2 linked regions of the Drosophila melanogaster genome follow. The protein of the gene in region 2 purifies or fractionates together with the protein of the main gene of each other region. This does not show direct contact. Each region holds a gene or a part of one and is shown on either strand. Other genes may lie near its edges.

Region 1 (5,510 bases), on a different chromosome or scaffold from region 2:
AAATACGAGTTATTGTCTCAAGTTGTACATACTTTATAGCCTACAGTAAGTACGTGAGTTTGCATGTGTGATTGAGTGGCAGTGCTCCTTTCCATTAAAACTGATTTTAATAACTGACATAACTGAAGCATAAAATAGATATCACAATATTGTATATTCTATCTAAAACAATAGATATCATTGAGAATACTGATACTGCTAGCGATAGAAATGAAATCACAATTCAATTTTATAATAAAACGAAATGGAATAAAAGCTATAATTGTTAGAAAACCCTAGACATTTCAACTATATCACTGCTCTCCATTCACACACACTTAAGTAGAGAAGCCAAGCGATTGGGGATACATGGGGAATAGTCGAGTATCACGATGTCATCTTTGCCGCATTAGCCGCGGCTATATCATCCCGGAAAGCCAGGAATCCCAGTTGGGCGTGCGAGGCCTCATTCAAGGCCCTCGATCGAATGCAGGCCCGATACTGATCGGCTGTCAGGGAACTGGAACAGATCTGTGTAAAAGAGAGAACTCGGTAGTGCAAATGGGCTGAAATTCGTTGCATACAACAGTACCTTGGTGTGCCAGCGGTGAAAGATTCCCGGGTCGGTGGCCCTGATTATCTTGATTTTTGATCGAACATACTTTCGGTATAGCATCACATCCTCGCCGCCCCAACCGACAATCTCCTCCTCGTCGAAACCGCGCACCTTTAGGAAGTTCGAGCGGTACTGGCACGTCATTCCGTAGCCAAAGTCCCGCCAGAAACCGGTGTCCCTCGATATCACCAGTTGCTCCTCTTCGCTGGGCAAGGGCTTGCCCTGCAGTGAGTACACCACATGCGGATTGTACAGGCTAAATACGACGGGGTAGTAGACCTAAGCGTTGAAAATAGATGTTAATGTATTAGTAATTTAAATAATAGCAGATATATTTACCTTCTTTCCAGGCGCTGCATTCCAGCGACAACGCTCCAGGAACTTGGTCGTGAACATAATGTCCACGTCGCACATGAAGAGCAGCACGTCCTCCTCAGCGGGTTGAATGTGCTCCGCTCCCAGTCTTAAAGCTTTGGCTATAAGCAAAATGGCTATTATTAACTACCAATATTATTTGTAATGCATTATAAACTTGCATATGTATTATGAACGAAACAAATGTAATATTAATAAACGAAACCCGTGCTTACCCCTACTGAAAGTCTCATTGAGTGCCAAAAACTGAGTCCTTTGGGATCGTCCAGCCAGGCTCCTAGCTTGCTCCAATCCACTGGTTCCAAAGTACACCACAATAAGCTCCAGGCGACGATCCTCTAGCTTGGCGAACATCTGCAGGAAGCCGCGAAAGCTGTGCAGACGTCCAGCCAGCGGTAGTATCACGTGGATTATGGGCGGACTATGACTTGGAGGGGCACCACTATTATCCACACTGGAAGATAGCTCCGATAGCTGCACCGTTTGCAGAGGAGCAAATGGTCGCATGACCAGGGCTCTCCGCACTGGACTCGCCTGGTGCTTGACACTCTGGAAGTACAGCTCGTACTGGGTGCCTGTGGTGGGTTCGTTGCGGTATATGCCCTCGATAAAGTCATCCAGGGTGTATTTGATCACATCCGAGGCGTAAGCCGCTGCAGAACCAGCTCCCTTGGCTCGTATTCTCGCTGAGTGATTCCTGTTCAGGCTCTCCAGCGCCTTGTTTACCGCCTCGATGAGGTCACGTCGTCGATAACCGATGGGCTTCTCCACCACGCGCTTTCCCAGGCCCAAGTCGATGGGATATACTCGCGTGAAGGTGAAGTGATTGTAGGGTATCAGCTCGTACTCGTTGTTCAGCGGCAGTCCATGCAGAATTTCTGCGGCGCCCACCTGCTTGCGAATATAGCTGCTGCAGTCGTAATGGTGACCCAGTGGTGCAGTTGGTGGCCCCGCGGTGGTTTCTTGCAATTGAAGACTGCCATTTGATGGCTTGGCAGTGCTGCGATTATTCTGTAGAAAGAGGATTTGAGTGCGGAGAGCCAGGACTTCCTGTTTCAGCCGCTCAATTTCCGCCTCTCGTTCGCTTAAGGTGTAACTGAATCCGCTGGATTCACTCGGATTATTGGCTTGAGTTTCCCTCGTCGTCAGTTCATCGAATCCGCACTTTGTGAGCACCACAATGGAGGCGCCGGTCAACAAGGCGAAGAGCAGCAAAAGCCGCAGCAGCAACTTGGTCACCAGGGAGTTATGCATTTTCCATAGTTTCTTACAAAATTTTCAACCTATTGAAAATAATAAAATAATTAGTTATCTAAGTGCAATAGTAAAATGCAAACACACATTTGAGACTGTAAAAAAAACTAGTAACGAATTATCACAAATTTTATACATTGCTGTGGAATTCTACATTTTTATTACATATTATACATGTACATGGCTCGGTAGAACAGTTTATTGGTTTTTGTCTCTGCTATTTAGGCAACAGTGCGTTATTAATAATTTTCGCTGATCTTTTGTAAAAGTATTAAAGATAAATCAGTTAAGAGCAAACAAAAATTTCATTTTGGCTTGCGGCACTGGTAATTTAAGTAATAAAATAAGATACAATAATATAAGACATTGATTTGAAATCAAACATCATCTGCAAGGAACTAAAGAAAAATGGAATGCAAGTGCTTGTTAACAATAATTTGTGCGCCGATACACATACTAAATATACCAATTCATGTTTTTTATAAGCTAGATAAGTATTATCTTTTTATATTTGCAAGGGGTTTTCAGGAAACATCGATAGTATCGATAAGGTATCGGGCTTGGTTCCAGCTCTAATAGTTCAACGGTCACACTGATCACAAGCTGATATTTCTATAAAAAAAAATAGTGCTATTTAAAAAGCAGCCGCAGTTTTCCGTGGAAAACCCGAAATACACAGCAGTATTCTACAGGCACATTGTCAAGGTGAGTGCTCGGGGGTGGTGGGTGGTTGGGGGTGGCGTTCCACCCATGTAAACAGCGTTTGTTGGCAGTGCGGCATGCAACAAGTTCTTTTTTCGAGCAAAGGTGATGGCATTCCTATAAATCGAGTGATTCATAGGCCGAATAGATAAGGCGTGTGCTGCGTTTTGTTTTCTTTTCTTTTCGGCCCTGTAATCTAAACAATTTCGGGTGTGTGTGTGTGATGGAACATGCATTCTCCCCATTTAAAGAACCAGACATCCAATAAAGGCCTTTCTCTGCTTCGCTTTCTTTCCGCAGCAAATTCACAATGGAGAACAACGAAGCCCCCTCCCCCTCGGGATCCAACAACAACGAGTAAGTGGTGGAAATCCATCGAATCAACAGGCTCAGCGCACAAAAGCAAGGAAAATCCCATACAGTGACGTCACCTGAGTCATATGGGCCACAGCGAACCGGAAGTAAAGTCTTCGGACTTCACTTTCGGACATTGGAATACCGTAAACGTCATGCTGCTGCCCAAGCGGTAGCTTCAGTTGTAGTTTGAAATCAATTAGGGTCATTAAAAGCATTCAGTTAAGTTGAGATATTGTAAAGTCAGTTGCTATCTTAGATGGAATATTAATGTGAAATGGCAAATTAACTCGAATAACAAAAAAGTATTAATTATATTCGATTCTAAATTGTAAAACATTTGCAAGTAGCTTATAATCAGAAACAGAATTTGCTTATTAATCACTTTATCGCAAATGGTAACTGAACATACTTAAGTATGTTTCATTTAACATCTATGAAAAACAAATGAATATTACTCATTTTATATTTTTTTTTGTCAATGGAATTTCAACAGCACTTGAGATTGTGAAGTTTTATTAGTCTATCCGAATTTAAGAAGAAAGAAAGTATTTATAGGACACAAGTCCCATTATTAAAACGTGAAAGGTGAATTGGCATAGATAACGATGGCATGATATACCAAGACTCGTGCTTTTGTGCGTTGCAGCTTGATGATCCATCTGCTGCTCTTAATAAGTGTAAGCAACCCCCACAAACACACATAATATTGTACAGTTTTCCCATACTTCCGCCACCGCCGAACGCGAATGACAACTACAATCAATTCGGTGACCATCAAATCAGGAACAACAATGCAGCCCAGAAGAAGCTGCAGCAGACCCAAGCCAAGGTGGACGAGGTGGTCGGGATTATGCGTGTGAACGTGGAGAAGGTCCTGGAGCGGGACCAGAAGCTATCGGAACTGGGCGAGCGTGCGGATCAGCTGGAGCAGGGAGCATCCCAGTTCGAGCAGCAGGCCGGCAAGCTGAAGCGCAAGCAATGGTGGGCCAACATGAAGATGATGATCATTCTGGGCGTGATAGCCGTTGTGCTGCTCATCATCGTTCTGGGTAAGCTAACCGATTTTATACCGCTTCGGCTTTTTGCCTCTTGCTGGTGCTTCTTTCTGGTTGCGGTTTTTCTCGATCAGGCTAAAGATCAGTAGTGTAGCTAGGTGGCTGGTTTGGTTTGGTATTGTTATATCTATAACGCAAGTCGACGCCCTGCAAACGCCCTAATCTTGCTCAACCTGTGGTTTCGGTCCTAACAACTTGTCCATGTGGCTTGCAGCTAACTAATCCAATAACAGATACTCCTACTCGTACTGATGACAACCCCTTGTGAATTTCTGTTTACTTGCAGTGTCGCTTTTCAATTGATACAATTAAACACACACTCACAGAAAAACAAAAGCAAAGCCAACAAAAATCATGTAATTCCGTTTCCCAATCAGCAAAGTTAAGGTTCAGATTAATCGTTTAACACGTTTGTGTACGTGTACTGGCTCCTACTATATACTCCTTAAATTGTTTATTATATTTTATAAAAGTCTTAAGCTAAGCAACTCTAAAGCTCTAAAGGTAATTGTTGTTCTTGTGCCTGTCCTAAGTGTTAATTATCGTTATATTTGTTTAGTCTGTAGTGTGCGAAGATTAGAACCTCCATGTCATACGTGTGTAGACTATAAAGTTCATACATATGTATATAGCTTCAGCAAAGCTATTAAGAAGTTAAAAATGGTTATATCTACAGTGCAATGTTGGGGCTAGGGCTCTGTTCTATGGAGAAATTTCATTTTAAAAAGTCATTTCGATTTTATTCAAATTAAACTCGCGTAAAAAGTATTAAATAAGAATGACAATACGAAATCCGTGCTGACATCGAAAGGTATGTAAGATAGTAAGCGGGAAGATAAAATCTGACTTTAAAAGTTGTTAATTAATAAATAACTGAAGAAATCTTTCGTCAACAAAACGCTCAGTACAATGTGCTGGGTGGTTAGAACTTTTACTTAAAAAGACCGCGATTTCATTTAAATGCGAGATAGGATATGAAATCCTTTTCATATCTCGTTGAATTGATATAAACATAGCTCTAATATCTGCGTATTTCCCTTTTTAGTGTCCGTTTGGCCGTCTAGTAGTGACAGCGGCAGTGGTGGAGGAAACAAGGCCATCACCCAAGCACCGCCGCACTAAAGGCCTCCTAGGGAGTGAGGTAAACACATGGATACGAAATGGAAAAGGAC
Region 2 (5,510 bases):
TGTGGATTCAAAGGAAATAAAAATGTACATGGCTTTAATGATTTGAGTAAGAGTACCTTCTATTCCACAAATCCCCCTTATTTTTGTTCAGTTTGACATTTCCGGCACGGAACGAAGTCCAAGACCAAGACCAAGACCGAGTCCAAGTGAGATCGTGTACGCGAGACTCATAAAATTGTTGGCCATTCGAACGTTTTTGTGCCGGACCAGCCATTGAAAAATAAAACGCGGCCAGCAAAGGGAAATAGAAAGAGACAGATGGTCGGGCGAAGAATGAGATGGAAAATGTGGGGGGAGCGCATCGAAAAAATAGAGAAAAATCAAGCGGATGGCTGGAATTTCATACTGTTGGCTTGGCAGAAGTGTGAGTGTGTTATCCTTTGACAAGGAGCATAAATGTGCGAGCTCCTCTCCAGCGTCCTTTGTACCTTCCGGCTGGGTGGCCAAGTCGATGTGTTGGCCATTTTATTATATTTGCTCTCAGACATTTTTGCCCTAATACGAAAATGGGATTTTAGGATATAAAAATTATGATAGATTACCGTTTCGCTCCCACACACCCAACTGCCATCCACCAATTGCATTTTTTTGCAATCGCTACACACACACTCACTACTATCCTTGTGTTTGTTTACACTGGGAAATTTATTCCAGCACGTTCTTCGGTTCTCTTAAAACTTACTAAAAACGGAAGCCTTTCTATGTGAAAACATCCTTAAAAAAGAAAACCACTATATCTGCTATATGGTAACTTAATACCCATGTTGATTTTTTATGTTATTTTCTCAGTGTTATCCCCGTCACATGCAACTTCGTGGAAATTGCGCTGGCTTAGCTGGGTAAAATCATTTGATGATAAAAGTGGCCCTCAATTGCCTTGTTGCTTGTTGCACGTCGTTGGATCTCCCCTCATCACGTTGTTATTAAATTGCAATGGCAAAAAGTTGAAAAAGCAATATGTGCAAAACATGGTTGAACTGAGCATGTGAAAAGCACTGGACTCGGAAAATCAGCTGACACACCTCTAAAATAGCAATCGCGCGGTTTGAGTGTTGTATTATAAAATGGCAAACTATCAATTGGTCATTGATTTTATTTTCTAACGCAGGTTACAAACATGCATTCCTAAATTGACCCACCAATTTATGGTGAAATAATGTAATTCATAACAAAAGGTGTTATTGTTACAATTATTATTATTATTTGTATTTGTATAATACAAAAGAAACCGTTAATCATAGATAAATAACGGTCGTTTTCAGAACTGCAGCTGGCGCCATCTGTTATTATTTATGAACACTCCAACGCAAACAAAGCTTTTAAGCTTTTATTACATTAACAGTAGCGCCTAAAATTAACGGCCAAATCTAGAGCTTAACGATAGCGCCATCTATTATATTTTAAGCGAACTATCACTTATCAGTAATGTTTTGCAATGCTAGGTTTTATGGTTCTGTTAAACGAATTTAAAAAAATATAAATTATAAAAATTTCTAACTGGAAATTTCCATTCGGAGTGGTTTTTAGTATTTTTTGGAGTTTCGCTTGTATAATCATTGTTATTGTTGGCCTCCTTAAGATACTTTCGTGGTCACTATTGTATGAACTAGATAGAATGAATCGAAATTTTAACAAACTACGATGTTATCTGTGGTTTTTAAAATACATATGTAGATAAGTTAATAATGGTATAGCGACATTCTTTGTTAGTTTTATATGCACACTTTACTTCAATAATCCAACAATTTTCTCGTATATGTCGATAATACCAATATTAATGCAGCCACGATTCCGCCGTATGGTTTTTTTTTACTGACTTAACTGAAATTACAATTGACCCTGGCAGCAATTGAAATCGTGTTGCAACTTTTCATACGACACTTTCGCAAATTTTAGACAGTAAACACAAGCCGACACTTCAACAATAAATTCGATATAGCAAACCAAACCCAGTAATTAATGTGTGTCATATTTGCACAATTGAACAAGATCTTTGAACATTAGTGCAATATATATTATGATTTCAACAGACAGCAGTGCAATAAAGCAAATCTAATTAAAATTCGAGTGCCACCCAGGCGACAAATGAAACAGCGGTAAAATCATTAGGTGATAAAATCAGAGTCAAAAGGCGAAAAAAGCCTAAGGATCCACCACACCGACTACCGAGTCCCCTTCCCCATCGTTTCAACTCAGTGCATTTGAAATGACCCGGAATTCATTGGATTTATAAATTTTTCTTCGCCACTTGCCAAGTGCAGCCGACTGGGACGCGATGGTCAGCAATCGAGTTGCCTTCTTTGAAAGCTGAAATTATTATTTTTTAATTGGCCAGCAACAAATTGCTTCATGCATTTGTGTGTGCCGCCCAGAGGTCACTGCGATTAACCAACCGCTCAGGTTTTGTGTGACTCCAAGTGAAGTACAACTCAGCGCCAAAGCTTCTCTAAGGCTGCAACGATTAATCAAATACGGTGAAACCCCGAAATGAAAGTCTTGCTAGATTAAAATTAAAAAGAGAATACAAACAAACCCATTTTTGTATAGTCCTTTTGTAAAGCATAAAAATTTACAAATTATAGTTAAATAAAACAGCAGATTACCTAATATCAACGTTAAATAGTGTTTAAAGTTATTGATTTTTATATAAGAAATAAACTAAAAACCTATTAAAAATGCATTTTAGATTTCATCCTTTTTAGCGAGGGGCCACTGTAGCCGTCTGGGCCTACCAAAGTGACTCAGTGGAGCAAATGTCGCGTGCTGCCTGCGTGCGGGTGCGAGCGGGAGGGCAGCACCGGACACTCTCCTTCTCCTTCTCCTTTGGGCCGCCCGCTGCTAGCAAGTTGCCTCCGGTGTTCGCAGAGCCGCGATTTCAGCGCGAGTTCAGTTTTTGATTCAGTTTCAGGCGGTTCGGAGTTGCTAAGTCAAGCGCAATAGCTCAAAATACACTTTTTTTAATTTTTGTTAATAACTGTTTTTAATAATTCCGGTGAAACATCGCGTGGTCAAGCGAACTGAGTTAATTTTCGCGTTAGAAAAGTTCACAAGTTTTGCGTTTACCAAATAATTAACTATAACTATTTAACTGGAGCTAATTTAACTGAAATTTAGAACCCAAAATGGGTAATTCCAGTTCCATTTGCGCCGATCGCAATGTCATAACAAATTTCGATGAAAATGGGTAAGAAATGAAATGGAAAAGTGAACAAACTGAAGCTGAACTCAAGCGATTGGCAAAAGAGGATTTCGAAAATGCGAGAGTTGGCCAAAGAGTTTGTGTTTACTAATGCGCAAACATGTTTGTAATTAATTTGTTTATTTTTATTGTTACTAAAAACTAATAACTGAAAGATTAGGAAATTATATTTTACATAAAAAAGTTATTTATAAAAAACCATTACAAATTCTTAACATTTTTTGTTTCGATACTTAATATATTTAAGTAGATCCTTTCCTGCAACTACAAGTTTTTTCTTGTGCAAATGCAAGCCAAGCCACCGCCCTCAGCCCCGCCCCTCCAATAATTTGTTTCTCGAGGTGTCATTAGTGGTCAATGATTCGTTTTACTAGTGTTTTATCAACGATTTACAGGCGACTCGTCGGCGTTGCGATAAAAAAGAATAACTTCTGACACACGCCATCGATAAAAAATTAGAGCACCACCTTCTTAATTAACGATTTTCGAAGTAAAAAGAAAAAAAAAAGTTAGAGCGACAGGTGTGTTTTGCTCACGAAGGTACTTGGAAAATGTAATTCGTTGGCAAAGCTGAAGTAAATTGTTAATATTTATGAAGGTTGCTCGGGCACACACACAAACATGTGTGATATATTCCAATTTATTCGCCTGCCGTGTTTTACTTTCAATTTTTGTGTAATAATTGAATATATCAAACAGACATCCGAGCAAAAGCGGAACGGGCCCACCGGTCGTATGAGTGAGTCAAGTGCAAAGTGGGGCGGGAACTGAAGCGATTCGGGACACTGAAGGTTAAGGTTGGGGTTTGGGGCTTCTACCTTGAGGCGTCTCTTTAAATAATTTATACTTAGTCAGATGCCACAAGTTCAGGAGGTATTATTGGTTTATATTTAACGCCATCGAGTCTAATAATCTCTAATAGAAAAGGTTCGGTTTATTTAATTCAAGTAATGCACGCACGTTGTACTTAAGTTTACATTAAAATCAAAGCTACTGATTATAAATAATAGTAGATAAGAAATTGCTAACTGCAATACTCTATAGTCTAATTTGAATACTATTATTTCGACCGCTGCTGTTCTCACGGAAACTTTTCGCATGCTATTCACGCCGCATCGCAATGTTTTCCAGGTCCCAGACAAATGATTTGATGGTAATAATCGTTGTTTAATGGCGTTTATATGTGCAGATAGTGTTTGCACCGCCCTTATCAGTCAGCTGATATACCCCACACAACTGAAACTAATCGGAGAGAAAGAGCCAAAGAGCGCGGAAACAAAACAAAATCGCAAAGTGTATACATATGGTGGTAGCAAAACAAATCGAATACTGCGGTTCAGTTCAGCACGAAAGCTGCAGCAACGCAGACAAAAGTCAAATACTCAGTGAGATAATTGTCGGCAAATCAATATACTAATAAGTATATAATATAGAAGACTTTTAAGAGCACCGCCATGTACTCGATCCTACGACGCTGTTCTGGTATCAGAAAAACTTTTGGACCGTGAGTCGAATGCAAGAATTTCAGAATAACAAGTATAATGTGGTGTCATACGATTGGACCACAGATCAAGAGGGTGTGTTTCTGAATTGGCAATAATCAGTGTCACTTTGGCACCACTTATCGGTTTCCATCTGGAAGGCGTGTCTGCGATGCATCGCCTCATCATATGACCATGCACATACGTTCAAACATATCAGCGCATTTCAAAGGTTCTGAAAACCTTGATAAGGAATCTGAAACGAAGAGTACCCACCCTTTAAGGGCCTCTTTTAACCCTAAATACCATTTTATTGCTCTACGACTTTTTGGCTATTACAAAAAGCTTTTTATGGTGAAATTCATATATTATTATATACTGTTATATAATATACTATTCAAATAAGATATATATACTATTAAAATGTAATATATATATTATTAACAATTGTTAGTGTGGGAACGTGGAGTGTGTACGATTAAAATTCAATTAAAAATGTTAACATCGGTTCTTTCAGAAAGAGTATCCGAATGTTGGTGACGAATTGGTTGTTATTGTCACTCCCGCATTGACATTCATTCACATATTGTCTGCTCTCTCTCTCTCCCTCAGCACGCCGGTTTATCCCACCGCCAACAATTCGCAGAGTCCTTCCTCATATAGTCGCGGCAAAGAGCGCGAGCTCGGCTGTTACACGAAGAGAAACAGCAACAGCAACAACAACAATAGCCATGAGAGAGAGAGTCAGAGCTGTTGTAGTAGTCGTGTGTGTAAAAATCATACGACCACAACGACAACCACACTCGAATACGAACTTTCCAATTTCGCAA

What was found.
Region 1: the proteins of Men (region 2) and Syb purify together in Drosophila melanogaster (affinity purification with mass spectrometry, with the first as the bait; one large-scale study listed by BioGRID). This does not show direct contact.

The regions. Positions count from the first base shown.
Region 1 is NT_033778.4:10,249,701-10,255,210, reverse strand, and holds the start of Syb (synaptobrevin), read left to right. Parts: upstream 1-2,793; 5' UTR 2,794-2,929; intron 2,930-3,038; exon of another isoform or gene 3,039-3,136; intron 3,137-3,226; 5' UTR 3,227-3,236; coding exon 3,237-3,283; intron 3,284-3,997; coding exon 3,998-4,332; intron 4,333-4,624; coding exon of another isoform or gene 4,625-4,641; exon of another isoform or gene 4,642-4,842; intron 4,843-5,383; coding exon 5,384-5,460; 3' UTR 5,461-5,510. Other genes in the region: Csgalnact (chondroitin sulfate N-acetylgalactosaminyltransferase), read right to left, coding at 367-510, 572-874, 935-1,071, 1,186-2,224. UniProt on the Drosophila melanogaster protein: Involved in the targeting and/or fusion of transport vesicles to their target membrane.
Region 2 is NT_033777.3:12,719,810-12,725,319, reverse strand, and holds the start of Men (malic enzyme), read left to right. Parts: upstream 1-2,877; 5' UTR 2,878-3,122; coding exon 3,123-3,184; intron 3,185-4,535; exon of another isoform or gene 4,536-4,653; coding exon of another isoform or gene 4,654-4,703; intron 4,704-5,292; coding exon 5,293-5,510.